4 linked regions of the Drosophila melanogaster genome follow. The protein of the gene in region 1 purifies or fractionates together with the protein of each later gene. This does not show direct contact. Each region holds a gene or a part of one and is shown on either strand. Other genes may lie near its edges. The genes, in order: Rbm13, Noc3, RpL7-like and RpL24-like.

The links.
Region 2: the proteins of Rbm13 (region 1) and Noc3 purify together in Drosophila melanogaster (affinity purification with mass spectrometry, with the first as the bait; one large-scale study listed by BioGRID). This does not show direct contact.
Region 3: the proteins of Rbm13 (region 1) and RpL7-like purify together in Drosophila melanogaster (affinity purification with mass spectrometry, with the first as the bait; one large-scale study listed by BioGRID). This does not show direct contact.
Region 4: the proteins of Rbm13 (region 1) and RpL24-like purify together in Drosophila melanogaster (affinity purification with mass spectrometry, with the first as the bait; one large-scale study listed by BioGRID). This does not show direct contact.

The regions. Positions count from the first base shown.
Region 1 is NC_004354.4:8,898,769-8,906,919, forward strand, and holds Rbm13 (RNA-binding motif protein 13), read left to right. Parts: upstream 1-2,930; 5' UTR 2,931-3,029; coding exon 3,030-3,044; intron 3,045-3,111; coding exon 3,112-3,158; intron 3,159-3,229; coding exon 3,230-4,043; intron 4,044-4,433; coding exon 4,434-4,589; 3' UTR 4,590-4,993; downstream 4,994-8,151. Other genes in the region: Uros1 (uroporphyrinogen III synthase 1), read right to left, coding at 459-1,292; e(r) (enhancer of rudimentary), read right to left, coding at 6,296-6,610.
Region 2 is NT_033777.3:7,241,341-7,250,170, reverse strand, and holds Noc3 (nucleolar complex protein 3), read left to right. Parts: upstream 1-3,201; 5' UTR 3,202-3,287; coding exon 3,288-3,296; intron 3,297-3,348; coding exon 3,349-4,961; intron 4,962-5,019; coding exon 5,020-5,643; intron 5,644-5,699; coding exon 5,700-5,922; 3' UTR 5,923-5,939; downstream 5,940-8,830. Other genes in the region: Dtwd2 (DTW domain containing 2), read right to left, coding at 1-151, 214-293; CG1227 (uncharacterized protein), read left to right, coding at 751-866, 927-1,521, 1,580-1,714, 1,770-1,886; CG10053 (uncharacterized protein), read right to left, coding at 2,052-2,805, 2,875-2,921; CG14607 (uncharacterized protein), read right to left, coding at 6,330-7,445, 7,497-7,543, 8,268-8,310.
Region 3 is NT_033779.5:12,053,377-12,061,458, reverse strand, and holds RpL7-like (ribosomal protein L7-like), read right to left. Parts: upstream 5,112-8,082; 5' UTR 5,038-5,111; coding exon 5,027-5,037; intron 4,961-5,026; coding exon 4,312-4,960; intron 4,245-4,311; coding exon 4,131-4,244; 3' UTR 3,567-4,130; coding exon of another isoform or gene 3,246-3,566; 3' UTR 3,208-3,245; downstream 1-3,207. Other genes in the region: Rab3-GAP (Rab3 GTPase activating protein), read left to right, coding at 1-590, 656-872, 934-1,061, 1,121-2,246, 2,432-2,629, 2,693-2,869; CG34164 (uncharacterized protein), read right to left, coding at 3,246-3,566; JhI-21 (juvenile hormone Inducible-21), read left to right, coding at 6,163-6,374, 6,961-7,156, 7,375-7,477, 7,535-7,802.
Region 4 is NT_033777.3:11,428,819-11,435,867, reverse strand, and holds RpL24-like (ribosomal protein L24-like), read left to right. Parts: upstream 1-4,285; 5' UTR 4,286-4,378; coding exon 4,379-4,459; intron 4,460-4,529; coding exon 4,530-5,024; 3' UTR 5,025-5,128; downstream 5,129-7,049. Other genes in the region: Exd2 (exonuclease 3'-5' domain-containing 2), read left to right, coding at 292-506, 569-1,696, 1,904-2,312; CG5276 (uncharacterized protein), read right to left, coding at 2,576-2,873, 2,928-3,889; Dtd (D-aminoacyl-tRNA deacylase), read right to left, coding at 5,132-5,241, 5,297-5,529, 5,598-5,688, 5,744-5,786; Sptz (spastizin), read right to left, coding at 6,329-6,758, 6,816-6,943, 7,005-7,049. UniProt on the Drosophila melanogaster protein: Involved in the biogenesis of the 60S ribosomal subunit. Ensures the docking of NOG1 to pre-60S particles.

The sequences.
Region 1 (8,151 bases):
ACGTCGGCATTTCATGCCGCTAATTTTGTACTCGCTCGGAGGTCAATCGAAATAAAAAAAAAAGAAAAACAAAAAAAAAAACCATGAGTTTTAGTCTTTTTTTTTACGTTTCGATCAGGAAACTAATTACCCATCCTTGGATTTCAAATCGATAGAGAAAAACTTGTACAGGTATTCGAAATTATAAAGATAACTAATCAATCGAATCGAATCACAACCAAAGCTCGAAATTTTCTACATAACTTATTCAAAATTGTTACTACCAATGCGATGATGGAAAATCTTATTTTATAAAATAGAAATTACAGATTGTGTTCATCATAGTTACTTGTGGATAACTATAAAGATTCAGGCCATAAGAACTCCCCACTTGGATTTGTATCCATATAAATGATAGATCCGATGATGATTTGTGGAGATTAGCCGTTGGAGCTGCGAAAGCTTAAGAAATCTTAGGATTAATTGTTATTCTCGATGGCGGCCATCCGTTCGCGCTCCTTGAGCAACCGCTCCCGACTGTCCTGCGGATTGAGCAGCACCTTGACCAGATGCTCCACCGTCGGCCGCTCGGCGGTGCAGTAAACCTTTTGGCCCAGCGATTCGAGGGCACGCCTAGTGCTCGGCCCGATGGCCACCAGCTTCCATTTGTCCATCGATAGCTGACGGCTGGTGAAGTACTGCTGTGCACAATTGACGCCCGATGGCGAGAAGAAGGCAAGAAATTCAATCGACTCGCCATAAATCTCCAATGCCCTCTCCACATTGGCGCCCAATTCGGGATGACAGCGCGTCTCGTACACTTCGCACGCATCCACGGAGAAGCCATTCTCGGCCAGCTTGGATAGCAGCGTATCGGTGGCCAGATTACCGCATGGCAATAGTAGCGGCAATGCACGCGATCCATCGAACGTATCCACTATATAGTCGCCCAATGCCCGGGCATTGCCCGTCTGTTTGCCGTGGGTGAATAGCTGGTCCAAGGTGCTTAGCGCCAGATTGTGGGTCACCTCGCCGACGGCATAGTTATGCAACATCTTCCAACCGCCGGGTAGCTCGCCGAGATTGAGGGATTCAGCCACGGCCTCCACGCAGCGCGGCGATGTGAATATGATGCCGGCATATTTATCCGGATTCTGAAGCTTGGCGCGCAGCTCATCGAGATTCTTGAAGCCGAAACTCAGCGTGGGCACAAAGACGGGATTGAAATCGTGCTTCTCCAGCGTTTCTGCGTACACATCGCTGCTTTCCGATTCCGATTTGAATATGATCACAGTTCGCTGGCGACTCGTCATCTTGCTGCTGGCTCACGTTTCTCACTTTGATCGGACGCAAACTGTGTGCTGAATTTTCCTTTGTCGAGTTTTCCGCCAGCGCTTACTTGCCCCGCCCACTGTTGCCGCCTTTGCTGCGCCTTCTATTGCGAAAATAAAAATATATAAATAAGAGTCGAATTTTGTGCACCAGCAGCCTCGTGCTGTCTCCCTCTAATCAGCTGTTGTGCCGGCTGTCCGCAGGGCTGCCAGATCGTCGAGCTAACGGCATTACTGTTTATATATTTTAAATTTATGCTTTTGTTTTGAAGTTAAAGGATTTAATTTGCTATATTTACTTAATTTTTGTTTTTTTATTTCTGCTCATTATATGCCGTTTTTATAATCAGCTGTTTTTTGGCGACTACCCAAGGGTGGCCACACTGTTGTGATTTTTAAAATATTTCATTTGATTGTTACAATTTTACAATTGTACATTCGCATTATTATAAACCAGCTTTGGAAACTGTAAGATTATCAGTAAGAATATCTTCTCACACATATAAATACAACTTAATCATGAGTATGTAAATTTAACTTATTCATGGGTATTTTCTCACATTCGTTATCAGATATTTTTCCAATGAATCAAGAGTTTTTACGTATTTCGAGCAGAATACATCGGAATTCTTTAGAACTATTTCAGATTTGATCGATGCGACAACGCAGAGTAAAATAATAATAATTTTTCACTAAAAAAATTTATTATTTTTAAGTTTTTCTTCAGTGTGTGCTTAAAATGATGAAGCTTTCATATTTTGTGTTATTGATCGTCCTGGTTTTGCGAGGATCCTTGGGCAAGCCACTGCATAAAAAAGAAACCTGTCTAGCCAATCAGCTTTCTATGATTGATTTAATGAGTGAAATCAATTCCAAATTGGACAGAATCTTATCGATTTCACACAAAGAAACGGATTTATCCAGCCAGCAAATGAAATTGCACAGCAAAAAAAATGCCCAACAGGAAGCGTTTCGCAATAGAACGCAATCCCGTTTTCAAATATCCAGCAACAAAATCGAAAGTCTGTTAGAAATGTATTCCAGTACTACAGTGGAGCCTCTGCCACAGAAGTTTGCGTTAATTGGCAAGCGATCATTCTATATAGAAAATAATGTGGAAATTTCCTGGGCTGATGCGGCAGCTGCATGTCGCGAATTCGGCGGTTTTTTGGCAGCTTTTAAGAACGAAGAGGAACTTAAGACCATTCAGGCAAGATTGAAGTTCTGGTGGTACTGGACGGGTATAAATGATTTGAAAACCAAGAAGTTCGTATCCCTGGCTTCTGGAAAGCAATCAACGATATTCCAAAGACATAGTTATAAAACCAATCACAGCAAATCCTGCGTTGCGGTGGATCCCCAATATATGTCCGAATTTAATTGTGATACCAAATTGTATTTCATTTGCCAGATGGATGAAGACACGTAATACATTACTGCTAATAAAGAACTTGCTCTAATTTTATAAGCTATTAACACACAAAAGTGCGTTTTTTTTTTCTTTCTCAATATAAATTGGGAATTGGAATATAAGAAATTTGAATTCATTGCCATCTGGCCACGCTGGCGATTGCAACTGTCATCGGTGCTATCGATAATGCCAACCGGCGGCACACGGCTATCGATAGCGCAATATTGTGTGTTGAATTTGCACGTGTTTCAAAGTAAGTTGGTTGTTTTTTATCATTGAAGGCATTTCGTTAATAACAAAACGGCGCCATGCAGCACGACGATGTGAGTAGCAGGTGTATGAATATGCACATTTGTTGGTGTCCTAATCAGATTATTATCAATTTGCCAGGTGGTCTGGAGCATCATCAACAAGTCCTTCTGTTCGCACAAAGTGAAGTGAGTTGAAATGCAGTTAATTATAATTATGTAGAAAATTTATGTATTCAATGGCAATCTAAATCACACAGAACCGACACACGCACCTTCTGCCGCCATGAGTACAATCTCACGGGTCTGTGCACACGCAGAACGTGTCCGCTGGCCAATTCACAATATGCCACCGTTCGCGAGGAGAAGGGCATCATCTATTTGTTCATCAAGACGGCGGAGAGAGCGCATATGCCGAGCAAATTGTGGGAGAGGATCAAGTTGTCCAGAAACTTCGAGAAGGCCATCGAACAGATCAACGAGAATTTGGTTTTCTGGCCCAAATACATGATCGCCAAGAATAAGCAGCGTTTCCTCAAGATCACCCAATATCTGATACGAATGCGTCGTCTGAAGTTGCGCCGCCAGAAGCTCATTGTGCCGCTATCGACGAAGATCGAACGGCGGGAGGCGCGGCGCGAGGAGAAGGCCTTGGTGGCCGCCAAGATCGACAATCACATCGAGAAGGCGCTGATGGATCGTCTGAAGAATGGCACCTATCGCGACATCTACAACTTTTCGCAGACCGCTTTCAACAAGGCTCTGGAGGCGGAACGCGTGGACGAGGATGATGAGGAGGAGCTAGACGACGAAGACGAGAATGAGGAGCAGCTGGAGCGCGAAATGGAGGTGGACGGCGACGATTCACGCGAAGCTGAGGAAGTACAGAGATCCCTGCTCGACGAGGAGTTCGTCGAGGCAGATACGGACGATGAGGAGGAGGATGATGATGATGATGATGATGATGACGAGGACGACTACGACAGCGATTCCGGCAAGCGGGAAGAGGTCGAGGTGGGCAGCGATTTCGAGGAGTCCGACGAGGATGACGATGCGGATGCAGATGATATTGAGGTAGTGTTTCTGGTCATGTATCAGGCTTTTCTTTTTTATTTTGTTGGCAGTTTTCTGGAGCATTTAACGATTTCCAAATCCTTTTTCAATGAATTTCTTTTAATATTGAAAATTCTGAGTATGTAAATAGTTGGCAATTGCTTAAATCCTGCCACCTTCTTCCGAAATTACCATAATTAGAAATAGCAAACGAGTTCTGCCCGCTTGGAGCTTGGAGAATAAAGCTTTCCGAGCGCCGTTCGCCGCTTTTCATTCAGTTGCGTCGGTTTCCATTCAGTGCGCGCTAACTAACAGCTCCAGAAAATTGCCAAAAAAAAGAAAACTAAAACGAAACAAAACTAAATTCCAATTGCCAAACCGAACTTAAAACGAACAATTGCATTCTAACAGGAGACCAAAGTGCCAGCCAAGAAAACCGCCAGCAAAGCGAAGAAGGACAAGAAATCGCCGGCGGGCAACAGTCGACGCAGCCGCTCGAAGCCCAAACTGCAGCTGGAGTACGAGTATGAGGTGGAGAAGGAGGCACAGCGGCAGATGCGCCATTAGCCAGGTCCACAATATATATTTCTCCCCCCCCCCCATGCTCAATCCACTTAGCTGTTAACGCTTATTGTTTAGCCGGTTAAGAATAGTATTTTACATAAAAAAGAAAGAAAAAAAAACAAAACTAGACAAGTGCAACACTATATGACCGAAAAATGCATCTCATGCAGGATGCACTTCATCTGCATCCCATTCGCTTTGCTTTCTGGCCAAAAAGCGAGGCTGGCTAACTGACATTGAAAGTGGGCGGTGCGGGGCGGTGTGGCGACAATGCAGTGTTTAAAACCAGTTTTGAAAAATATTCTAAAAAAAAAAACTATGCACCATATTCGACGCAGCTGTAGCGCTATTGCATACCCTGTAAAAAGCGCGGAGTTGCGTGGCAAGCAAACTACTTTAAATAGGAGAAATTCTTTTTTTTTTTTTTTTGAAAATATATATACATATTTTTGTAATAAACTGTACAGTTTGCTGTAGCAAATGCTTTTTTCACAAACAAATATATTTGTCTGAATAATGAGAAATCTAGTGATCATTAATATTCAGCAAATATAATGGGTAAACTATAAACACTATGTTTATTGCTAGTTAACGCTAGTAAGCAGCATCCACAAGTCGACACTAAATGTGCATATATACATATATATATATATATATATATATATTTAACAAAATGCTGTCGCGGAGCTAATTAAATATCGCACGCCAAGTTCAATGCAGTGCGGCCAAGCGATTCAGCGGCGGTCCAAGTTCGTTATCCGATTGAATATCTGGCGGGGGTACAACCCACAAACCCCTACCCCTCCCCCCTCACCACACACACAACAACCAGCATCTCAAGGTCATTTCGCATCTGCGACCAAAGGTTCTGTTTTGCTTAAAACAAGCCGTTAAAACGCCACAAAGCCCATCGGTGTGCAAAATCAGCGGGCTAAAAGTTGTTGTTTAACTAAGTTCAAATGATAAAGGGGGGGGGGGGGAATCAGTAGTTTACAAATATGTTTATATATGCTCAGTGTGTCCTGATGTGTTAGTTTATTATTCGATAGATTGCAAAGACTTAAGCTAGCACACACGGCAAAACATACAAAAAAAAAATGCACACTTGCAAATTTGCCATTCGGTTTTACAAACAAACAAACATACAGTTCGCTATCGATAAGAACAACCGTCACCTGTGGCTGCCGCACAAAAAAACATTGAAACACACAAAAACACACACAGTTGTCAGTTGGGTGTATATACAGTATATATATATATATACGCCTATATATATATTTATATATATATATATATATTAGTACGTTTAAAGTAAGTTTTCCATTTCTAAGTTATACAGTTTATCGTTCTCTTTGTGTTCCTTTTCCTTTTTTGCATTGCGTTATGTTGCAAAAAAAAGTTGCTGTCATTTGGCGATCTAGTCGGTAGCAGCAAGTCTCCAATGGAATCGATGCCCCACCACTCCATCATCATCTTCTTCTTCTTCCTCATCTTGTTGGTGTTATTGGTGTTATGGTGTTGTGGCCGTTGCGGATGCTGTTCCAAGCGCTGTTGCATGTATCCTCGTATTGTTGTTGTTGTTGTAGTTGCTATTGCACGCATTGTTGCATACATCAACGTGTTGTTGTCGTTAGTGTTGCACGCATTGATGCATGCATCATCGTGTTATTTGGTTTTATATGTATGTATCTTGTCGCATCGCCGTCCCTTTAGGTATTGGAACTAAATGCCGCCTGACGGAGCAGCACATAGATCTTCTCCTTGATCCAATCCTTATTGTAGGGCGCATAGGTATTGGTGCTCTTCTGGTAAACCATGCAGCTAATGTCCACCATTGTGTCGATGAAATCGAATAGCTGGCTAATGTCATACGTAATGGTCGGAGTGTTTGGATTGCGGCGCTTCAGGTGCTCCTCGTAGATCTTGCACACGCCCTCCATGCACTCGTTGACGCTCTCGTAGTCACAGTAAGTGCGGGTCTCCGGACGAGCACCCGGCTGTACCAATAGGATGGTGTGCGACATGGTGATCTGCAAGGCAAAAATGGAACATTAATGTTATTGGCGGTGATCTATGTACTCAAGCGATATGTATGTATGTATGTTACTAGTGTGCGTTTCATTACATTACGTTTCATCTTCATCACTTACATCCTTTTTTTTAACAAGCGTTTTTTCTATAGCAAAGTCCGAAAGATTCCGAGACTCTCGAAGTTGAAGTTTACTTCGCCAGCTCTGCAAAAATTGTGCATAAATATTTATTAGAAGCATAGAGAGCTGTCAGCAAAAAAAAAAAAGACAAAAAAAAAAGGAAAAGAACAAAAACGAAAGAGATGGAAGAGATATGCTGTTGCCGCATGCAACGCATCGCCCCATCTCGCTCGCGCTCTCGCCGCAACACCAATACACGCGCACCACACATGCTGGCCAGCAGAACGCTCTTTGATTTTCCAATTTGCAACTGGGAAATAGACTAAGATGGCACTTCCAGCATGGAAAACGAGTAATTTGTGTGTGAAGCGAATGTTGGCAATGGAGAAATGCGTACATTTGTACAAGATAATGCACGCTTATGCCGCTTCACTAAAACACAAACATTCGGAAGCGCGAACAGACACGCACACACATGTACAAGGAGTAACGGCCGCCGCGTGTGTGTAACTAACTGTATGCAATCACTTGTTTTTCTTCCTTTTCACCGATTTTTCTCGAATTTTAAATAATTCCCATGTCTCCCGTTTAGTGTTCAACTTACCCGTTCGAACGCCGGACTATATGGACTATGATAATATGCTGATTCAGTAAAGAGATTCGGTAAAATCAGCGCTTGATTCGTTTTTTTTTATTTTGCCAGTTCTATGGGTTTTGAAGAGGAGGCTGAAGCTAGAGATGAGCGCTTCGCTGCGTGCCTCGCCGTGACAAAATAATCGAAAGATATCGATTAATACTAACATCTTTTATTTGATATACATTGTTTAATAATATTTACCAAATTAAATGACAATTGTGATTTTTTATACTTAATTGTATCAATGTATACTTGCATTTCAATTTGTATATGTATTTGATTCCATATTATGTTCATTCACTTTTTTATTGAAAAGCACACTTTATGTATATTACGCCTTTAGGTATAAAGCATGTTTTTCAATGCATATTTTCATTTCATTTGGCGTAATTCATTCCATATTTAGTCTTCAGATTTTTTAAATAAAATTAACTAAAGCTTTTAACATATACTCATCATAGTAATACATTACAATAACTACGGAAATTATTTATTTATTATTTTTATTTTATATATTTATAAAAAAATTATAATTATAATGTCAAATTAAAGTGGATTGCATTATTTATTTAGGTTCATTTTATTTTGTTATTACATATAAATATTAGGTATTACGTTTATTTAAGTTAGAATAAAATTAACGCCCATCAACAAATTATGGTCATTAAAGTCTTTATGAAGTAAACTTAATGTACAATCATTTTCACTTAAAGTGCATATTAAAAAGCATATTTTTACATTTTTTAGTATTGTATTTAATATAAAGTCAAAAGTTACT
Region 2 (8,830 bases), on another chromosome or scaffold:
ACATTTTCCCGGTTCCAAACCCAACTGCAGCATCAGTGCAGTGCGTAGCGATCTCTTCTCCTCTGCAGGGTGTTGCAGTATAACAATCTGTGAGGACACCGCCTCAGGTGGATGCGGTAAAGCCGGGCACCAGCAAACAACCACGGGTCGTCTATAATAGAGTTCATGAAAATACTTTAATTTTTATGGCAGATTCCCAGCTTCACCACTCACTTGCATTTCTCGCACTTGTTGCGTCTGTTGGGCGGATCGGCGCTGATGCCCACGAGGTCCAGCCACGCGTCATCCTCCATACTTATAATTGATTAAATTAGAAAAATGCTAAGTTTATATTCCGCACGATAAGAAATCCGTAAGCAACAATTCGCAACTAGGTGGCAACGCACACAGCCACATGGCAAATATGACCGCCCTGTCTTCGAATCAGCTGTTTGGAGTGCAGTGAAATTGCGATTATGCGATGACAGAATCTTGAATTCCTTTAATCTATACACCAAGGAATCAAAATAAATATTAATTTATTAATACGTCAAGAAACTAAAATCGTAAAAATAATACGAAAGTGCCTAGTTTTTAAAGTTAAAGTTAATATAGAATCTTACAAATATGGTTAAAAATCACCGAACTTCATAAATTCGTTCCAGTATAAACATTCCACTTCAGCTTTGTGTTTTCTATTTAGATTTTGTATGTGAATTGAACTAGTTGTTAAGCTTAAAGTTGTGAAGTACATAGCATAATTTAAGAAAAATGCAGAGTATAGGATGGACGCTGATCATGAAACGCGGCTGCCTCTTTAGTTGCCGCAAGGAGACCCTGAACATAAACGGATCTCGATACACAATCCGCGAAAGGCTGGCGACGGGGTTTGTACCACATTTTTCCCACTATCTCCTCTGATATATCTAATCTGAGTGTTTAAACAGGGGCTTCAGTCTAATCGACCTTGGGGAAAACGCCTCCACGCGACGTAGCTATGCGATAAAGCGCATCACCTGCCACAGCATCGATGATCAGAATATAGCTCTGCGAGAAATCGAAAACTGTCGAAAAATTGACTCGGAAAACGTGATCCGGGTAGTGGATTACGAGCTGAAGGGCCAGGCGGACATAGTTATAAACACAACGAGCACCTTGTTCATTGTGCTTCCCTATTACAAGCACGGATCTCTTGCGGACCACCTTCAGCTGCGATCGCGGAAACAGGACCACATGCCCGAGGCCCAGATCCTGCAAATCTTTCTGGGCGTCTGCGAGGGATTGAAGGCCATCCACGAGGCAATGCCGGTGCCTCTGGCCCACCGAGATCTAAAAACGGCCAACATCTGCCTGTCGGACTCTTTTGAGCCAATTATTGTGGATCTCGGGTCAATGACAGAAGCCCGACTGCAGATTGTGGGCCAGACGGATGCTCAGCGCTTGCAGGACGAAGCCGAGGAGAGGAGCTCCATTGTCTACCGGGCTCCAGAGTTATTTACCGTGAAAACATATTGCACAATTGACGAGCGCACTGACATATGGGTAAAGCAGATCCAAGAGAGCGTTATTGAAGTTCTTCCTTAACATTTCCCTCTTTCAGAGTCTTGGCTGTGTGCTCTATGCAATGTGCTACTTTAATTCACCCTACGATCCCATCTACGAGCGAGGTGACAGCGTGGCTTTGGCTGTGCTCAGTGGGAACATAAACATTCCAGAGGATTCAATTTACACAGAGGTAATAAACCTTTTTTTTATATTGTAAAGGAAACTAATTCCAAATATTTGTCTAGGACATGCACGAATTAATTAAGTACATGCTGCGAACAGATCCAATGGAACGGCCATTCGTGTTTAGTGTTATCGAAAGGACCCACGATCTGATACAGAAACTGGAGGGTCGCTTGTAGCTCCCACTAACTGGATTACAACTCATTTATAGACATTCCTCCAAACCAGATACACCGCTTACTGTTTTTTGACTACTTATTGTAAAATATTTTAAACCTGCTGATTTTATGAAATTATGTGTAAGCAATCAAGCTAGTTTTTTTATTTTATTTTATTGATTGGAGCTAGTGTTCGTCACGAGTGAGTCCTGGACAGTTGGAGCCCAGATCTTCGGCGTCATCGTAATGGGTCCCACACCAATAGCAGAAGCAATAGGCTGTGCGCAGGTAGCCAGTGAGGAGTTCTAATTGCTCCGAGGGACTGTATGGTTCTTGCTTAGGTGGCACCTCGACTTCAGGATCGTCGGCGTCGCTCTGTGATTCATCTTCATCTTTTGGTTTAGGTGGCCAAAAGAAATCGAGATCTGGTTCTGTGATAGCGGACTTAAGATCCAACGATTCGCAGGTCTGCTGGCACCGTTTTATGTCATACTGTAATTTTCGCTCCTCCGCTTTATGGGTCGCGCGCCTCCTATAAGCCTCTGTACTGACTTCCTCGTCGCTTTTAATGCCGGCCTTGTTTAGGAGATGTGCCCTCCGCAACTTCTGCCGCTTGAGGGCCAACTCTGCAACGGCTGCCTCGCGCCCAAGTCCTCCACGACCGCTCTTTATAGTTATCCCCACGGGTTCAGTACGAGCATCCGAAGTTATGCCCAACCCAGAACCGGCTTTGTAGCCCATCTTGGCCAGTAGCTGGAATCCTTTGTTGTCGGCGGAAATTGGTTTGTTGAGGGACTGTTGAAGGCGAACATTGTCTACGTTCCCGGAAGAAGCTGCTGTCTCCCGTTGGCGCTTCTTCAGCTCATCTTTCTTGGACTCGACTTCAATCTGCCGCTTTCTGCCGCGATTGTGCACCAAACTCGGTCGGACATCTTGCAGACTAATGAGGGAAGGATGAGAGTTTTTCATAAGGTGGTTGGTTGTTAGTTAGGTGTGAGTGTAATCTCACCCAACCAGGAATTTGTCGGACATATAATCCTCCTCCTCGTCAGACATCTGTTTGTTTTGTTTACACTTCTCACTTAAGTGTGACCATTGCATAGTTATCTACAGCATTATTTCGATAATTTATAATAACAATGATATCTCTGCTATGAAGATTGAGTTCCGAAAATTGTATTTTATAGTATTGGTTCTGTTTAGTGATAAAAAAAACAGCCAGTTTGTGTCATTTACTTATTTCTTCAAAAACAAAGTATTTTAAGTAAGCGCATGTAAGATACTAAACAAAATACTATCCGCTTCTGAGCAGCTGTTGCGCTCCGCTGACGAGTGGACAGTTCCGTTGGCGTTCCATGTGCTCGTCCCATTCAGAAGGCAACATTTGTGAAAATTAACTATTAGTTGACTAAAACGGGTGCAATGGGAACTGTAAGTGGAAAGTAAAATTATTTAATGCTTATTCTAATCCAAATCATTGTAGAAAAAGGTCAAAATCAGCTCGGTCAAGCGGGCTGCTCACCTGAAGTCGAAAAAAACACCGCTTTCTAAGCAGCAGCAACAAAAACAGAAGCAAAAGCGCGACCAACTGAAATCGAAGCGCGAACAGGGTCAGAATATATTCTCCCAAAAGGCGAGAAAGCGGGACAACTTAGCACAGCGTAAAAAGCACAACAAATTGGCCTCCCTGGGCTTGGATCCGCTCGAGGAAGACAACGAGGATGGCGACGATGAGATGCTTGAAAACGTTGCGGACATGCTGGATGGCGATGATCTTGCCCTGCTCCAGGCTAACAAACGCAAGCGAAAGGCCAAGACGACCGGCGAGAATGATCCTGACCAAGGACAATCCATCGGCTTGGAAAGGGCCTATGCCTCTGACACGAAAAAAGAGCAGGACGCGCAAAAAATAAAGTTGGATTTGCTGCCAATCAAGTCCAGGGATGGTCAGATTATCACCCGTACGACAGAGGTGGATTACATACCTAAGCCCAAGCAGAAAAAGAAGAATGAAGAAGAAGAGGAGGATGATTCCGAGGAAGACGGTGATACGGAGTATGAGGACAGCGATGACGATGTGGTCAATGATGTCGAGGCCGCCACCGCCGCTCCCGTCCAAAAACTTATCTCTACCACGGATCTACTTATTGCCCGGCAGCAGGAGATCGAACGCCAGAAGTATCGCATTGGAATCATTTGTTCCGGGCTGCTCGAAAAGCCAGAGGATAAGATGCGCAACTTTCATGCTCTGTACGAACTCATGGACGAAATCAACCCAGCCAGTCGACAGGCCAACCTAATGGCCGTCAGAAAGCTGGCCATAATCTCTGTCACCGAGATATTCAAAGATATCTTGCCCGAGTATCGAGTGGGTCAGGTCGACACCAAGATGCAGACGCTTCGCAAGGCCACTCTTGATCGTGTAACCTTTGAAAACGCCTTGCTTCAACAGTTTAAAAAGTTCCTGCAGAAACTGGAACAGATCACAGCGCAAGTTAACAGGAGAGGTGGTCTAAGGACGCCTCAGACTGTGAAGTTGGCCACCGTGGCAGTACAGTGCATGTGTGACTTGCTTGTGGCACATCCATACTTTAACTACGTTCAAAACATTGCCCAGCTTCTGGTGTATATGCTGAATTGCAATTATGCAGAGATGCGAACGGCGGTCCATCAGTGCTTCCGCACAGTCTTTTCCAACGACAAACGGTTAGAAATGACTCTTTTTATAGTGCGACGCATCAATCACTTGATCAAAACGAAGCAGAACAATGTTCATGTGGAGTGCATCACCTGTCTGATGGGCCTTAAAATCAAGAACGTAAACCTAGATGCCGAAAAGGAGAATGAGCTAAAGCAAAAGAAGCTTGAGTCGCATCGTCAACGCTTACTAAGCTTGTCCAAGAAAGAGCGCAAAAGACGTAAGAAGCTCACCGAGGTTAACAGAGAACTAGAGGAAACCCGTGCCGAGGAAAACAAGCAAGCAAAGCATCAGAAGCTCACCGAGATCATAAAGATGGTGTTTACCATTTACTTCCGCGTGCTTAAGAACGATCCCACCTCCCGCGTGCTGAGCGCTATTCTAGAAGGATTGGCAGAGTGAGTGGTTATTGTAAATCTCTTTCCTGGAATTTTAAATATAGAGGATGATTTTTAGGTTTGCGCACGTCATTAATTTGGACTTCTTCTCCGATCTAATCGATGTGCTCAACCGCATTCTAGAGGACCAAGACGAGCTGGGCTACCGGGAGCGATTGCACTGTGTTCAGACCATATTCGTTATCCTTTCCGGCCAGGGTGAGGTGCTAAACATCGACCCCATCCGATTCTACCAGCACTTTTACCGAAATATGCTGGCGGTGCAGGCAGGCAAAAATCACGATGACTTCGCCATTATTTTGCGAACTTTGGATGAGGTGCTCGTAAAGCGTCGTCGCAATATGAGCCAGCAGCGTCTAATGGCCTTCATGAAACGCTTGCTTACTGGAAGTCTGCATCTGCTCCATAATGGCACCCTGGCCACGCTTGGCACAATAAAACAAACCTTCCAGCTCACTTCTGTGCTTGACAACCTATTGGATACAGACACTACGATAGGCTCTGGTCGTTACGATCCCGAACTGGACGATCCTGAGTACTGTAACGCAGCAAGCACAGCGCTGTATGAGCTTGCGCTTCTGGCACGTCACTATCATCCCACGGTGCGACGGATGGCCGTTCACATTGCTCATGGAGTGCCAGCAACGGGCGAGGGAGCTTTGCCCACGGAAATTGGCAAACTGTATGTAATAAGACGGCAACTACATATGTGACTCTAACAATTATTACTTTCCTTAGTACCTCCCACGAGCTGTTTACGCAATTCGACAGCACTCAGATGGCTTTCAATCCGACAATACCGCTGCCAAAAGCGGGTCAACCAAAACTAAAAAGGGGCAAACACTTATATATTCGCTCGGACTTCAAACAGGAGTACGGAAAACTGCTGCAGCAAGGAAAAGTTTCACAGACGAAGGATAAACAAACCTTACAAATTGATTTTTTCAGTGCACTTCAATAAAGAAAAATTTGAAGATTGAAGTAGAGTTATAATGACTGCGGAATAGTGTGGAAAGAAATGCAATTTTTAAACAATACCCAACTTGTTTCCCAATATTAAACATTCTTCCAAATACGTTCTCAGTTAAAGGAAGAGAATACCAAGTGTGATACCAGGATTTGATTAGCCAGATAATAATCGAACAAATTTGTTGTTAAATCAGAAAGGTGCGAGTTGGTTTTAAAACATGAAACCATTCATTTGCTTAGAACTTCTCTGTAATATATTTCAATTAATGGGATTTTTACAAGTTATTATGTTTGGAGCTCCTAACATTCTATATAGAGGCTAAGTCTAGAGTCACTAAGAGTAGTGTCATATAACCGGGTACAAGTCCCAGGGGTTCGCCAGAATTTTTCATTCGCTACCTATGCATTGGTGCCTCCTCGTTGTCGCTGTTGTCCAACGCTAGCTGGTGGCAGATACTCTCTATTCCCGCCCGACTGCTGTTGCCCGAATCCAGCCACTGAACTCTCGGGAAGAGCTCCGGCGGCAGTGGCCAGAAGCCCGACAGCAGCTCCCGATGGCGGTAATCGATTGGCTCCAGTGCTCGGGACAATGGCGGGACGAAGGACAGCCCCAGCGCCATACGGGCTTTGGGGCTGAGCGGTTGGGGTGGGCGTGGCTGAAGGATAGGACCCCCGGCCGGAGTTATATCCAGCAACCTGAGACACTCCGGTGGCTCGAAGTGTTCCAGTCGTGGCCAGAGGTGCCCCGAAGGCAGCCGAGGAAGAAGCGGCCGGACGGTAGACGTTGTTGGTATTCGATGTTCTCAGATTGGAGCCACTTCTCTCGGAGTAATCATAGATATAGGCATTGTTCGCATATAAGCTGGGCGCCGAAACGCAGTCGTACTGGTTCCACCACACACAGACTAATGTCTCCTGGCTGAAGACTGTGCCATTGGGACACAGGAAGGAGTAGGTCCGGTTGAGGGCACAGATATGGAACACCTGGCATTGGGCCTCTATGTCCGCATAATAGCCGGGTAGGGGCTGTTGCGCACAGTCAAAGTTGGTGCGCGGCACCTGGGCATAAATAGGATAATCCACTCCAGGAACACCCGGAATGGCCGAGTAGTCTCCATCGGAATCGTTGTAGTCCCCGCTGTCTCCCGTTCCACTAGCAACTCGGATTGGAGATCCACCGGGAGTACCTCCATACTGCGAAGCCTGCGGTCCATAGGGTCCACTGCGAGATGATGGGGTAGATAATCCGCCAGATGAAGTTCTTCTCGGTGGGTTAACGGGGTTTGTGGCTCCTACAATGGCGGGTGCTCCAAAAGCAGTGGTAGCCTGTCCACTTGGCGTAAATCCAACAGCGGGTGAGGGAAACAAGCCTGCTCCATATGCAGTAGGAGCCGGAGCGGGAGTAAGTGGCAGGGCTGGTGCTGTTGGATATGGTGCAGGTGTCAAGCGACCACCAGCTGTGGCTCCTCCTACATTGGCTACCTCGGGACGCCCATAGTTGTATCCACTTTGAGCCTATAAAAGCGCGGATTACAGTTAAGAAAAGAGAATCTCCTTATAGCTTACCTGGACTTGCAACTGGGCTAATCCGCCACTCCAGAGCAACACCAAAACTGGAATAAAGAGACGGGCCAACATTAACGCTTTCTAACCGTCCGTGGAATCTGGCGAAGATCTGCTCCGAGCTGTGGAACTGGCGACGCACCAAATCGAAATGAACGCCCTGGCAGCCATCGATGGCGATGGCAGCGAAGAGTTTCGCAGCCCCTATTAAGGCCAAGTACGTTGTGATTCTGGGAGCTGATAGCGCGGCTTAGATGGTTCTGCACCGCGATCTTTATTTTTCAGCTTCCTACTCCTACATCGGGGGCACAGTGGTCAAAAGCTTCACTATTGCATTTACAGACAATCGGGGCATTTATCAAATTAACTATACTTTAAGCATACAAACTAGAAACAATTTTTTTCGAAAATGTTTAGTGCACAATTGTAAATGCTGTTGCTTGATTCATTTAGAAGATTCAATATGTTTCTTAATTTTATATTTTGGTTAATCTCTTCATTGTGAATTGAGTTGCATACACTGTGCCAGTTGCTGAAATAACGCACTGCAACATCAATTGGCTTGCAAGAATTGCGGCAGCCGGTGGGCCAAAGGCAAGACGCATGCCTCGTAAATATGCAAGGCAGCAAAAACTTAGACAGACAGACGCCCCTACAAAGGAAGTGCTAATAGTGATCGGAATGATGGGCCGTACAGCCGATCGCTCGTCACTGTTGAGTTACGCGCCGCAGTGGGTTGGGTCTGGGTCAGCGCCGACTGGTTGGCCAACTCACCTGCCAAGACGCACGAACAGCGTTGCAGGGGCACTTGCATCATGCAGCAGGAGATTCCGAGCGGACGAGCTTATCCGAGTCTAATATTCGGCTTATCCTTTTCGACCGGCGACCTGTGAACTGTCCAAAACTTGGGAAGTTACTGCGGGCAAGCTCAGAACGATCTTAGAAATATATACGAATTTGAAAGCGCGACTTGGATGCGGCATCTTTACCATATTTATGTGGCAGCTGCCCCAAAGACCAACGACAGTTCGTCAGTTAGTGTGTGCTGCTTGCGCTTTGGCAGATTTACGACGCTGGATTATCCATTGTTCGGGGACTGCGGCCAGTTATCAGAATTCATATATCAGCGAGACCCTACATGACGTATACGTAATATAAGTTACGTATACGTTGATCAATTCAATATAATAGCCATTTCAAGTGCAATGTAATTGCAATCTGATTCTACTTGTCCTTGCGAGTGGGAAATTCGATTTTCTTGCAAATGCATTCAACAGCTATGGTAAAAATATTTAAATTTCGACTGATTACATGATCGGCCTGACCTTACCAAAGAT
Region 3 (8,082 bases), on another chromosome or scaffold:
GTGCGACAACAGTGTCTGGAGATGTTGCTTAAGAGCAAGAAGCTGCAGCCACAGGTGTTTCAATCCATCATTAATGCCTTCATAAAGAAACCTCTTTCTGAATCAACGGGCTCCGAGGAGTTTGTCAACCAAATCGAGAACTATAAACGCTTGACTGATCTCTACTTGGCCCTAAGTCAAGCCAATCAGCGTGAAGACAACGAGCCACCCGTAGAATACTTGGAGCTTTCCGATGCTGATCTTGTCACCATTAACAAGTTGGTTCTGCTCCTGGACGATGGCACCGAGAAGGATAAACCCGCCGCCACTCGTGAAGTGAGCTTCAAGTTGCAGGCGGAGCACAAGACCGAAGAATTTGTCGATTACCTGAGCATCTTTAACATCGATAGTCCGGATGGGATAAGTCTACTTCCGGAGAAGTCAGATAAGTTTGGCGCCGTAAGCATCGATCTCTTTAGTCAGTTCTTTGCCCAAGGTCTATGCTTTGGCCAATTCAAGCAGTGGATCAATCAGGCGTGTTTGCCCAGCAGAGATTTGCTTAAATTGATTATTTGGTTTTGGCTTGAGAAGCCCTTTAAGTACAACAACTGGTGAGAAAAACATATTTTATAAATTCCGTTCTCAATTTATGTGCAATCTACTTTTCTTACTTTAGTGATGAAGTAGTGGAGGACATGTCCAGAATTGCTGCTATGGTGCAGACCATTTGTGATCTGGCTGGTGAACACATCCATGACTATGCCTACAATGCCATTTCACCGTGGTGGCAGGAAGTTCGGGAACTTCTCTTGGAGAGTAAACAATTTTCGGGCTTGCTGGTGGCCATTGTATGCAAAACGGTAGCGACTAATTTGTGGCGAAACAGAAAAGAGGTAGGTCTACTCCTAGTCATTAAAATCAAAAACTCTTTTGCGAAAAACACTTTTTCCTTAGGGATCTTGTGATGAATCCTCGCAGAACGAAGATGATGAGCGCTGGGAGCGTATCTCCCACGATGAGGCTCAGTGGGGATTGCTCACTGGCAAGCTAGAGGATGTGGCCGTGCTAGGAGCCATACTAAGGTAAGTGCCAAATCAATCGTTCCACTTAGCTCCTTTATGAACCACTGCTTCCTTCGCAGTAAGCCTCTCATCTGCCGGGATCCTGTTGGTCCAGAGATGTCCTACGAGCCACCGGACTGCAGTCTCAAAAGCATTGTGAGCAGTGGCAAAGGCATCGTCACCGAACTGACAGCCAAGTGGCTGATCAGTGCACAATTGCATCCGAGTAAAGTTTTGGAGATATCGCCTCCCGAAAACGAGTTAGACGACGAGAGCAAAGTTAAGATAAAGGATGAGCCTACCAAGGAGTCAGTCGATGAAGACGCGGAATCAGAAGAGGATTTGGAAATGGCAAAGGAAGTGTACGCGGCGAGTAAAGAAGCCCATGAACCTATTCTTGAAAGATTGGCTCTGCTGCGTGCGCATTTTCCCTTCAGCTTGGAATCGGGCGTCCTCTTAAGTCTCATGTCGTGGCAGTACATGGTCCAGTGGAGCAAGCAGCTCTCATCGCTGGACCACCTAAAGGCAGCATTACTTTGTTTAAACCAATTCCGTACACCTGACTGGGCCCTGAAGCATGGAATATGTTGCATGCTGTGGAATGCCACCCTGAAGTTTCCTCTACAGGCGGCGGCGAAGCTTATTCAAAAAGTGGGACGCCTGCCAGTGGACAAGATGTGCCAGCAAGATCTCGAGATGTCTGCGGGTAAAGTGCCAGAGTTTCTAGAACTCAGCCTCGAATTCCTGCAGCATTTCACCGCTTCCATGGAGCACGATAAGCGTGAACTGCACTTCGAGCAGTCGCTCAGCGAAGGAGCCCTGCCATTGCAGTTTCTGGCTCTCCAGCAGCACCATGCCATGCCGCAGCTGCTCCGTCTTCAAACAGAACTGTGCAGCGTGCTGCACTTCGTTTCCTTTTTCCAGCTGCGCATTCCAAAACCACTGACCACGCTTTTTGACTCCATGAGCAACAAAGCTCTGCTGGCGGACATCAATAAGGAACTGCCTTATGTTTTGCCTGCACCAGATCTTGTCCTGCAACAGCAGCGCACTGAGTTCCTGTGTCGCCTTGTCACCGCTACCATGGATCTGATTAGAGAGGATTTGGAGCAGCTGTACATTCTCGATCATGTTTTCTACATGGGCAAGATCTGTGCCTTAGCCGACAGTTGGGAGGTCGATAAACTTCCTATCCTACGACGGCAGGTAAGAATGTACATACATATATGATCCCAGAATTCCTAATCTAGGAACCCATGAACACACATGACAGGGAGCTTACAATCCCTTTTGCCTTTCAACATCAGTTCGTTAGTTTGCTCCGTAGAGAGCACAACAGAGGAAACACAATGGAATAGAAAATATATTCCAAATATTTTTCCCTCCTCCAGGTGGTGGAACTGTACGCTTTTGGGTATGATGCGGAGGCTCAAGTGTTGCTCCAGGACATCAGCGATGACGAGGAGCTGGGCCGACTGCTGCTGGAGATCGCTGGCCGTAGACTTAATCTTTACGCACAGAGCTCGCAGTCCACGTTCCTGAAGATTGCCTCTGTTGGCCACCAGTTGCTGGCCTACCTAGACAACCTGGTAAGTGCTGCAAGCGCATATATCATTCGCAGTACTGATCCATTTCTCACGCCGCTTACGCAGAAGGAACCGATGACGGAGAACAACATTCAGATCGCGGCCACCAAGCCCGACGAGATCGATGTGGCTGCCCTGGACAGGCTGTTGTCGCATGCCTACAAATACCTTTGCCGGCGCGAGTCCAAGCAGCTGCCCATCATTGGCCAGATGTACAACGCCGTGCGTATCCTGCAGAATTAGGAGTGAGGATGACACATAAACACTTGGTTATTTTACATTTCTCTCATGATTTTTATGGATTCAAGAATGAACCCAATATTGATTGTTAAAGCACCACATGCGGTCCCATTAATTGTCTTATACTTATCAACCTAGTAGCGATTTAAACAACCTACGAAAAGCATCATATTAATTACTTTCAAGAAAAAGGATACTAAGATCTGCACCGATAGGAGGATGTATTCAACACGAATTTGATGTGAAGCTTATGCCTACAAGGATTATGAACATGTATATTTAATAAAATAAAAAAAAAAATTTTAATATTCTTTTACTAAATTTAAGGGATACCAAAAGATAAAATAACAATACTTTCTTTATTGATGCCCAACGTAATTTAATTTATATTTGAGCAGGGATCCAAGCGGGTCTTTGAACTTCGTGCCTTGGGCGCTGCCTCCAAGTTCTCCGCCTGTATTCGTCCGATTGCCTCCGGCGTGGGCAATCTCTCCGGCATCATGGTGGCGTGCACTTTGAGATGAGTGTAGACGGCAATGTAGCTCTGGCTGGTGTCCAGTTCGATGGGTGGACTCTGCTCTATGCGGCCAGGCAGGGCAAAGTGCTTGCCAAGAATGGGTTCCTTGAGAGATCGGGCCAGAATTTTTTGCAGTCCATCGCGGTCGGTGTCCAACTGCTCGCTGTTGAAACTTGAATTCATTGAGAATTAATTGAATCTAAGGATTTTGAATTCCAATGTGTAGTCCCTGGAGTTTTATCCGAACAAAAGATACGACGACCCGAGTTGCACTAGGTTAGTGGCACTGACTCCGACTAATCGAAAAACAACAGTTCCTCCTTCATGGCAACAAGTAGTTCAGTTTGGCATACCTTTCGTTTGCGAGGAGCCACCTCGGTTATGACTTATTTATTATTCGAGGCAGAAAGTTGATTCTCTGGTTTGTTCAATTTGGGAACTCGGCTGGGACACGCAAGGCCAAGAAGCAAAGAACTTGTTTCGTGGGTGAAGTTTATCATGTTGATAAACATGTAGAATAATGAGGAATGTCGTTAGAGACAGTTTCATGTGGTTCCTTAATAGTCGCAGGATTGCTTTTATAGGCATACAGTAAACTCACGATAGTGCTGACCTGACCATCTATTTTCTTCGTTAAATAAGTACGCTCAAATAGAATACGTTTGTATATAGATGTGTATTGGGCTTAGCTACAGAATGGGTTATAGAGGTTGAACAATCACTTAAGGGTTTACTAGGCTAGGGTCTCTACAGGCAGCGGGCAATCAGTTCGTTGATGGCAGTGCCACGATCGCCGTACTCGCCACCGCGTTTGTACGAGACGGATACCTTCTTTTGCCAACCATTGCTGGGACTGGACAACTGGAAAAAACCAAATGGCGGTAATAGTATAGTTTTAAGAATTGCAAAAGAGAAGTTGTTAACCAACCGTGAAGGCGCACAGAAACTCATTTACAGCGGCGAAGTTTGGACCCACTGTGCAAATTTCGTGGATTATATCCTCCAGACAGATGACACCCTTGTCGCCCAGCTGTTGCTCCACCATGGTGTTCGACTGGATGGCCGTCTTCTTGCCGTCGATGCGGGCGAAGCCCTTCTTGAAGACCAGCTCGCGAATGGAGCTCAGCGAGGGATTGCCGTAGACTACAAAGGGTTCGATAACGCGCAGCAGCAACTGGTTCTCCTTGGTGTTCTCCATGAAGACGGCGTTGTGGCGCGAGCCCATGCGCAGGGTTCGGAATATATCCGCGGTGGTCTTGTCGAAGATCTTCTTGCCCGCATGGCGCATCACGAAGAGCAGTTTGGGATTGGAATCGTCGGCAGCTTTGGCACTTTGTTCGGTGACATTGGTGCGCAGAATGGTTTGCTTGATCCGCTTGGACGTGCGCTCTGCTTTCAGGTAGCCCATTACGAAGGATTCGGCACGGCGGAATTTGTGGTGATTCTTGGTGGCGGTTCTCTTTTTGATGCGGTCATTTCTTTTCTGCGTAACAACAGATTCATCCTGCAGAATTCTCCTCTTGCGATGCTTTAGCACCGACACTGTTTTGCCGGGCAATTTGTTGGGCACCGCATATCTAGGGATCAAAAGTATAAGATAATGTTTAGGGTCAACACATTTTTATAGTTTTTCAATCACTCACTTGTCTGACATTGCTGGTATTTGGCTTTTTAATCGAAGTAAATTAAAACACGTGCAAGCACCAAAACAATAACTAAAAAGGATAGAGGTGGGCGCGGAGCGATAAGTGCTTTGCTATCGATAAGTGATGTGTGCAACAGCTGAGCGCGTTTCGTGGTGAATAGCTAACAAATTTGAAATTTTTGGCGGGAACATTTAAGAAATTGTATTATTCAACTGAAAACTATGCTTAATAGTTATGCCATAAGATAAATTTAGCATTAGCTAGCATTCAAGAGGACAGCTTTAATGTTTTCTTCTTGTAAGTAACCATTTGACATTAATTTCCGGTTTTGAGCACTCATTTCTCATTTTTTTTCTTTACACTCATTCTCTCTCTCTCTCTGTTTCTCTCTCCGTTTGCTGCTCTCACTCTCTCACTGCGTTTTAGGGTGAAAATTGCGTTAATTTTAGTATGAAAATGCCGGTCTCGATGCCAACGCACAGTCGCTGTTCGCAGTCAAAGCCGTTTTGTTGTGTCCGCGCTCTCGAGGTAAAATAAATCGTGTTTTACGTGCAAAGTCGCTGGGAACAAGATAAACCGAAATTAATCAGCCAAACTGCATTCCAAACCTTGCGAATAACCAACAAAAAAAAAAAGAAGCGAATAAAAGCAATCGAGCAATTGCCAGAAAAACTGCAACTCTGCAACTGCAAAATTCATTGCCACGCGTCGTAAGGTGATGACGAAATCGTGGAAATTGGCACGCGGCAAAGGCGTCACCATAAAAGTGGAGCTCCCCATTAGGCAGCTACACACCACAACATGCCAACCCCAAAAATCACCCTACTTTAAAGCTAAATTTCGTGTATCGAAGATAGTGGCGTCGGGGAAACATTCAAGTTTATGCCTGACAATGGGAGATTAGTTAGCTGCCAGCGAGGCAAAAATCGGGTCTTCTTCACTAGCAATTAGTAACTAAAATCAGCACTATAGCATTTGTTTACAATTTGCGCAACACGTGCTCGCGCCCCATTTGCTGATAGTAATGAAGGCTTTTTTTTCTACATTTCAACTTTTACCCTTCATTCCAGTGACAATGTGCGCTATTCGCCATTAGAAGAGGGTAAGCAGAAGAATCCCACAGTGCAGACATCATGACGGACCGATATGCCAATGGAGTGACCACCAGCCTGGTCGAGCCCACAAATGGATGCGCCGCGCCGGGTAATCCAAATCCCGCTGATGGCGAGGAGAAGATTGTCCTCAAGCGGAAGCTAACACTCATCAATGGAGTGGCCATCATAGTGGGCACCATCATTGGATCGGGCATCTTCATTGCTCCCACGGGAGTCTTTATTTACACCGAGTGAGTGGTGATACAGAGCATCCTCCTTAATTCAATTTATGCACAAAAAAGGTCAATTTAGCTGTTAATTAATGGATAGATTGTCGCAGGCATTCCTTTAGCACCAATTAAGATACATTTATTAGTTCTCGATTTTCCCTCAAAGATTCAACCTTGAAATTCTGCCCACATATTGCGTCAGCTTTTTAAAGTGTTTTTTTTTTTTAAGCGAATTGTCTCCAGTCACAAGAATAACGTCAATAAGGCGCGCCAAACATTTAAATTATTGATAAGAGCCACAAAAAAAGGTGTGCGTCATAAGCTTAAGGCGGCTGCGAAAAATTCCAGGAAGTTAAATTCATAAAAGTATTTTATCGAAATGAAAGCTAATCCCCAGCACTTGTTTTTTTTAGATGTTTTGTTTAAATACCATTTTACTATTATTGCTTACAAATATTTGCCACCGAGTTAATATTAGATCTATATTTATAATTTTTATTGCTTTATATATATATATATGTATGTATTCCCTGACCATATTTGTTTACGAGTGTTTATTTTCATTCAAATTGTTTATTGATTCGATGACTACTTTAAATCATTTCAGATCCGTGGGAAGCTCCCTTTTGATTTGGCTGACTTGCGGCATTTTATCGACGATCGGAGCTCTGTGCTACGCGGAACTGGGCACATGCATCACAAGATCTGGCGGGGATTACGCCTACCTGCTGGTGTCCTTTGGACCGCTGGTGGGATTCCTTCGCCTCTGGATCGCACTGCTCATCATCCGGCCAACCACGCAGGTCAGTTCCTATAGTACTCATCAATTGAATTACGGAATGTTTACTTATTTGGCTTGATTGATCGATGGGTTGTTGATGCAAATAAATAGAAATTTATTAATGGGCGGCTACCTTCGACCGGAATTGAATTCAATTACGAGTAGGACAGCTTTCTCCGCTAGAAACAAATGGCATGTGGGATTTATAGTATGAATACATTGTTTTATTTTTTTTTTTAGACCATTGTGGCTCTATCTTTTGCCCATTATGCGGTCAAGCCATTCTTTCCGGAATGCGATCCCCCACAGAATGCGGTGAAACTGCTGGCTGCCATATGTCTAAGTAAGTTGGTTAAACAATCCACTCAATGTTAATTAATTGAAACTCCCACTCTCCCAGCTCTGCTCACCACAATCAATTGCCTGTCGGTGAAGGTGTCCATGAAAGTGCAGGATGTGTTCACGGTGGGCAAGCTGCTGGCCCTCATCATGATTATCCTGTCCGGACTGTACTACATGGCCACTGGCGAGCTGGAGAACTTCAGAAATCCGTGGGAGGGTATCTACACGGCCCGCAACATTGGCTACGCCTTCTACTCCGGTCTGTTTGCCTTTGGTGGCTGGAACTACTTAAACTTTGTGACGGAGGAGCTACAGGATCCATACAAGTGAGTAGTGGTGACAAGGATAAATGGTTGGGTTGGGCTGGGTTTATTTGCCTCATTCATTCCTTGTGCGTCATGCGCAGGCAGCAACAAGTGGAAACTTGTTGAGTGTCCTTGATGTCATTCCTCCTAGAATACCACCCAGTGGGTGGGGGATGCTGCCTCATCCCTAACGAATTCAATTTGCAATCAATTTAAGTGCTACGCTCCCTGCACAGCCAAGTGGCTTTCTCGCTGAATAGCACGTTCTTTGACACACTGAAACAAATTTCAAGTAGGAAAC
Region 4 (7,049 bases), on another chromosome or scaffold:
ACCCTGTGGGCCAGTATTGCCACCCCGAAGATCTTAGTCCAGCCAACAATGCCACCTTTTTAAACGACTCGTCATGTTTAACGGTTTTATTTCGATATATTTTTATGAACTTTTAAAAGATTTGAAACAAGTTTTGCTTAAAATGTATTAAAACTGTAAAACTATTTTGGCATAGCACATTCAAATTACGGTTATAAATATTCCGAAACTTGTTTAGACCGGCTTTTACGGTTTGTGAAAACGTAAGTTGGCAGGCCAGCCAATCAGCTGCTGAACTCCGAAAGGAGAACAATGACTCGGGAATCGGCAGTCGCCACCAAAAGAAATTGGGCGATTCTGGCCGCAGGAGTTGGCTTGGTATACGTCCTGGTGCGGCACAGGCACCGACTGCTGTGTCCACTGCGTCGCGTCTGGTCCTTCGGCAGCCTGGTGCCCCAGCGACGCATAGAAGTGATCAACTCCGTCCAGGATCCGACCACGCAATGGGTTTTGAATGAACTGAAGAAGTAAGTAAAAACCACTTTAATTTCACGACAATGGAAATATATATATATATTCTGCCTCTTAGTCACTGCCAGACTTTTAAAGTCCTTGGATTCGATTGCGAGTGGATCACCGTGGGCGGCAGCCGCAGGCCAGTGGCCTTGCTCCAATTGAGCTCCCATCGGGGTCTATGTGCCTTATTCCGACTGTGCCATATGAAACAAATACCCCAGGATCTGCGGGAGCTTCTCGAGGACGATTCCGTGATCAAAGTGGGCGTGGCACCCCAGGAGGATGCCATGAAACTTTCGCACGACTATGGAGTAGGCGTGGCCAGCACACTGGATCTGCGCTTCCTCTGCGTAATGGCAGGCCACAAACCTGAGGGACTGGGAAAGCTCTCCAAAACTCACCTGAACTATACACTGGACAAGCACTGGCGCCTGGCCTGCTCCAACTGGGAGGCCAAGACTTTGGAGCCAAAACAGCTTGATTACGCTGCCAACGACGCACTTATGGCGGTGGCCATTTATCAAAAATTGTGCAGGGATCTGCAGCCAAAACACTTTTGGCAACGAAGGCAACTGGACGACAATAGCATGCACAACAAATTCGAACCCTTTCTCGACGTGGACTTCACGAAAGGCTTCACACTCAACCCGTCCGGCAGCGGAGTAACTCGTTCAAAGGGCTCCACCCAATCCAAAAGCAATAAATGGGTGCCCAAGAAGCAACCGTACCGGCAAATAGCTACCCGAACCAAAGACTTCTACGATAACTGCCTGCTGCAGGCGCCCGATGGCGAACTCCTGTGTACAATTGACAGGCGCAAGGCGTCCTGGTATCTCAATCAAAATCTGGGCACGCATATAAGCGAAGAGCCCTTCACTGTCCGCCTTAACTTCGAGCCAGCGGGTCGAGCGGTCGGAGATGTGGGGCGCTTCTATCAAACAATCAAGAAAAACCAGTGCGTGGTGTGTGGTGACCGGGATGCGTACATTCGGAAGAACGTGGTACCGCGGGAATACAGAAAGCATTTCCCATTGGTCATGAAATCTCACACCTCCGACGATGTGCTGCTCCTGTGCCCAACCTGCCACCAGCTAAGCAACATCTCGGATCTAAGGGTTCGCAGCAAACTGGCCGTGCAGTGCGAAGCTCCTTTCAAGCAGGAAGACGGATCTGTCAAGTACCATGATGATCCGCAGCTCAAGTAAGTATGCCATACATTTTCAGAACTAAGTTAAAAGTAAAAGTAAATTATACATTGCGAGGAATGTAGATTGCCTTATCAGTTATCTTACCAGACATATTTTGCCTCTTTTTTATCACCTAACTTTCCAAAACATACCCTGATATATGATAAAATTAATCTCCATAGAGTTCTCAATGAATCTGAATTGCATTTTATTATTTCCAGACGAGTCCAATCCGCTGGCAAGGCACTACTTCATCATGGCGCGAAAATACCCGCTGCAAAGAAGGCCGAAATGGAAAAGACTCTCCTCGATTACTACTCCGATCAAACGGACATCACAGAAGATCTCCTGCGGCAAGCAGCCAGCGTGGAATATCGCGTAGAAAACTCCGACTACTGTCAGCATGGCGAGCGGGTGGTGCAGCAATATCGCGATCATTTCGGCGGCCTGGTGGAGCTGGAGCGCTTATGGCGGCAGCACTTTCTGCACACAATGCAGCCCCGCTTTTTGCCCGAACTCTGGAATGTCAACCACAATGCCGATCGACTGGAAGTTCGCGCCAGCGAGGGTCGCATCGATAAAGCCGATCTTATGGTGGCCGGATTGGATGCGAAGATTAAAGAAACGTGATGCAGGGCTTTTCTGAGTTTGCCACCGGCTTTGTACGTTTTATATTTCAATTTTAATAAAAATAAACTAAAATTTTTTTTTGTGCTATGGTACAAGACGGGACAAGGAGTCACGGTTCATGAGGCAGATGAGCATCTCTGGACTAATCTAGGTGACTATAAATATAAAGCTTACCGTATGGGACAATAATACAATATGTACACGTTTAAAACTGAAGCACCTGGATCGAAGTAGAGTGGAGTGCGGTAGCTTGGAATGGCGAGCTAAATGAACTCGAATCCCTCATACTTGTAGTCCGTCTCGATCCTCGTTTCGGGCAGCAGTGTCTTGCCCGCAATATCGAAGGCTGTGATGAAGGTGGCCGTCTTGCCATTCAACTCCTCCGACTTAAGAGCCACGATTATTGAGTCATCGGTGCCGGGCAAGAACTTAAAGCTAGAGAAACCATGCGTGGGCGTTGTATTTTCAGGATCGAGCCGTACAGTCTCAACGTTGGTGAAGCTTTCGTCGGCGGAGACCAGGACATTGCAGCCCATGTGCTCGTCCTTGGTTTCGTTGTATCTTTCAAAGATAGATCGATGAGTTAAGGATTTAAAGGCTGACACGCTTACTCACTTCTCTTTCGAACACCGCCTAGGCAGGAAAAACCAGCGATTCCTTTCCTCTGACCAGGTTCCACTCTCGTGGATCATGTAGCCCGGCCAGGTTATTTGCATCGACTGCAGGCGCAACTGCTTGAAATTGTCCACCCAGTTGAGCGACCTCACCTCGCCGGACGGAGTGATGGCCTTTACGTACATGGGGTTATTGTTCTCGAAATCACCCGCACTTGTCGTCCACTCCTTGCCCATGGAGCCCACATACAGCGTTTGCTCTTTCACTGTGGCCCATTCGGCCTTGAAGCCCTTGGCACTGTGTCCGTCTCCATCGAGCAGGATCACCCAGGGAATGGGCTTGTCATTCACAATCTCGTATATCAAACCCGTTCGGTCGTCGAAGGTGAGCAGGCGCCCGTTGAAGGTGACTAGCTCAGATAGCTCCATTCCGCGGCCCTTAAGGGCAAATGCTGATTCCAGGACTATCGGCGCCCCGTCATCCCAGCTAATCTGGATCTCTGACCTGGCCACCGTGTAGGTAAGGTAGCCCTTCTTCAGGTAGCTACGCCACGTGCTGCTCCCATCGCCCTTGCTCACCTTGGAACTGGTGTCCAGATCGGCAATCATGGCTATCCGGTAGTTTATCACACCGCCACGCAGCACCATGGGTGACGTGAGCGGATATGTGGCATTGTAGGCCTGGACCACTGGACCACCATTGTCCAGACTCCGGGCATCCGTGTAACTGCGGCGCAGCCAGTAGCCGTCGGAGGAGGAGTGCGATCCCTGGCGCGCAAAGTAGAAGAGTAGGACGAGTACGAAGGCGCAAACAATCAGAAGGGCGAAGTGATAGTTAAAGCGCACCGTCCGATTCCCAATCCGGTACGTGGGCGTCCGCAGGGCCGATCGCCAGTCGCGCATGTACATGGCGCGCGGCGAGTGTTCTGCGTGTTCCCGGTACGCGAAGGCAGGGCTCTGCATCTGGTCGCACGTCAGCAAGATCTCGTTCGCGGTGATGTGTCCGATTTTCTTGGTCTGCTGCTCTGTTTGTTTGGATGCTGGCGGTGTGACCAGCGCATGAGCGGGCGATCAGCTGGCGCAACAGCTGGTGCAAACTGGCGAGCGCATGCGATGTTATCGAGAAACAGGTGCAACAATTCAGTTTAAGTTAATGTAAACATACTGGGAAAAACATGATTTGGACAAAGACCGAAGGTAATTGAAATTATCAAAACAATACAACTGTCAACTGGTATCGCAGTCACTTGCAATTTATACGTATTTCTTGCTTGGATATTTTTTGTCTACATCTAGCTATTTTCCATGTTAGCCAGTGTTATCGATAAGCAGTGACTGGTCGCACTGCTGACTGCCGATACATTTTCATATTTCTTCTTCTTCAGCAGCACACGTGCTAGCAGCTTGCGCATTTGTTTTGTTTTCGTAATTTATCCGTCGTAAATTGCGAAAATGCGCATTCAAACGTGCTATTTTTGCTCTAGCAAAATATACCCGGGCCACGGGGTGCAATTCGTGCGAAATGACTGCAAGGTAAGAACGATTTGCTTTCCTGTTTACATGTGCTCCGATGTTTATATTGCTTCGCCATATTCCGTCGCAGGTCTTCAAGTTCTGCCGAGGCAAGTGTCACAAGGCCTTTAAGCGCAAGAAGAATCCCCGCAAGGTAGGATGGACGAAGGCGTACCGCAAGGCCGCCGGCAAGGAGCTGGCCATCGATCCCAGTTTCGAGTTCGAGAAGCGCCGCAACGTGCCCATGAAATACAGCCGCGAGACCTGGCAGAAGGGTCTGGAGGCCATCAAGCGGGTGACGGAGATTAAGGAGAAACGCACCAGCCACTTTGTCATGGAGCGACTGCGCAAGGGTCGCCAGGTCGAGATTCAGATGGACGTCAAGGATGTGCAGCGCAACATGTCCCTGATTCGCTCCCCAGCCGCAGGGCTGAAGCAACGACGTGCCCAGGAGGCGGCAGAGGAGGCCGCCCTCATGGAGGAGGATCTGCCCGAGGAGAAGATCACCTACGTGGATGCACGCGAACTCGAGAAGAAACTGGAGGAGGGAATGGGGGTCGAGGATCTCGAGATGTTAGAAGCCTAAGGACGAGTACGCTGATTTTTTCTTAGTTTAAGTTGCTGCTAAAAAATACATTATATAAAAACCCCGTGGTACATAAATGTTGTCTTTGGTTGTTATATATTTTCAAATCATTTGTCCACTTCTCTGTCAGTATCCTTTTGTTCGGGGGACTCCAAATTAATGGTTACGGGTCCATCGTTTTCTATGTGCACTTGCATGTATGCTCCAAATTTGCCATCTATTATAGTAAGTGAGATTAAAACATGACCAGCTGGAGTGTTCCTATCACTCACCTTTAATCTTGGTGCTATCGTAGGATTGACCTAGGCGATCCAAAAATTGATTGTACAACTCCTGCGCCTCCTCGCCCTTCATGGCAGCCAAAAAATCCGGTTTGTTGCCCTTAAGGCGGTGATACAGTGTAAACTGCGAGACGCACAGCAGTTCTAGGTTCAGATCCTTCACGGACTTTTGCCAACGCTTGCCCTCCTCCTCGAATAAACGGAGAGCCAAGATTTTCCGGACACTTGAATGGTAAGCTGTGTTAGGTGGTCTAAACCTAAGGTGGTTATCACCAGAGTGGAATTTACCTACAGATACTCAACATCCTTGGCGGTGTCGCTGGCCTTGATTCCCACCAGCACGCACAGGCCTGGTCCAATGGAGGACACCAGCTCATCCAACACTAGGGGAGCAGTATAAAATTATATGATAGATGGTAACTATTTGATCCTGCATACCCGTCACTTTGGCAGCCTTAACCCTTTGTATAACCGCACGCATTTCTTAATTATTCTATTTATTTACCACTTATTTAGATCTTTGTCAGTGCTGGTAAACTTGACACGAGCAGTGTTGACCGTCGCCCCAAGAATTCAAAAATATCGCGCATTTTCTGGGTAATAAACATATAACAGTATAATATAAAAATAACATAATAAATATAAAATACAGTACAATCAATAATATAATTTGGTTACATGCTGGGAGAGTCTTTTTGAGCTGGAGGGTGGAATACTTGCTGGCCCTTTGGAAAGATTAAAATTGATCTACATATATGTTAAATTCTAAAAACAAATTATCTATGCTAGCTCAGTTACAAAACAACTTGGGCCTTCACTAGGTGAATAATCAAAAGATGAATTCCAATTCCGAATAATATATATTCATCTAAATCTCAAAATTGAGAATTTGCTTAGATATGTTATTGTCTTTTAGAATGCAGGAGTTTTCAAAGCTACAAATTCATCATTTGGTATTTCTCACAGCTAGTAAATCCCAGAAACAAGGGGTTACTAATGTGTTATTGCTCGAGGGTTGGGATATCACAGAGGCGTTGGCGCGGCGCTTAGCTGGAGCTTCATATCGCACAGTTTCTTGATGTGAACCTGACCGGTAAGCTCCGCCTGCCGCAGGATTCGCCGGATATCCGCCAATCGATCGTGCTTGTTGGCCAGCAGATAGGCGGATTTAAGCTGCCCAATGTAGATGTAGGAGGAGACTCGTAGCTCCACGCTGCCGATGCGTTTGATCAACCGATCCAGCATCTGTTTCGTCTCCGGCGCACTGCTGTGCACAGCAGCATTAATGGCAATCGAGAGTATTTCATCGGACTCCGTGGAAATGTCTCCGCCGTTGTTGCTTCCTATGCAGTCCAGCAGACGCTCTACCTCACCCAAGCGCTGATTTCTCGACAGGTACTTAGCAGTGGCTCCAAACACCTTAAGTGCAGCCAGCTTGAAGTCCTGCATAATGCTAAAAATAAAACAATTATAGCTGACATTGTCGTCTTGATTTTATCTTTTTGCTTACCCGTAAGCCAGGCCAAAACCTTCGTCTATGTTCTTACCGCACATGAGGATCAGAATGCAAATTTGTATCCGATCTGCGGCGCCTTCGAACAGAGTAGGTAGAGTTCCTCGACTGGACTCTAGTCGAATCTTTGCGGAGGTTAAGTTTGGTATTAGTTAAAGAAAGAATAAACGCAATTCAAGACAGTACCTGCTTCAGAGTTTGTATAGTTCGTAGTGGCTCATCTGGCGGCTG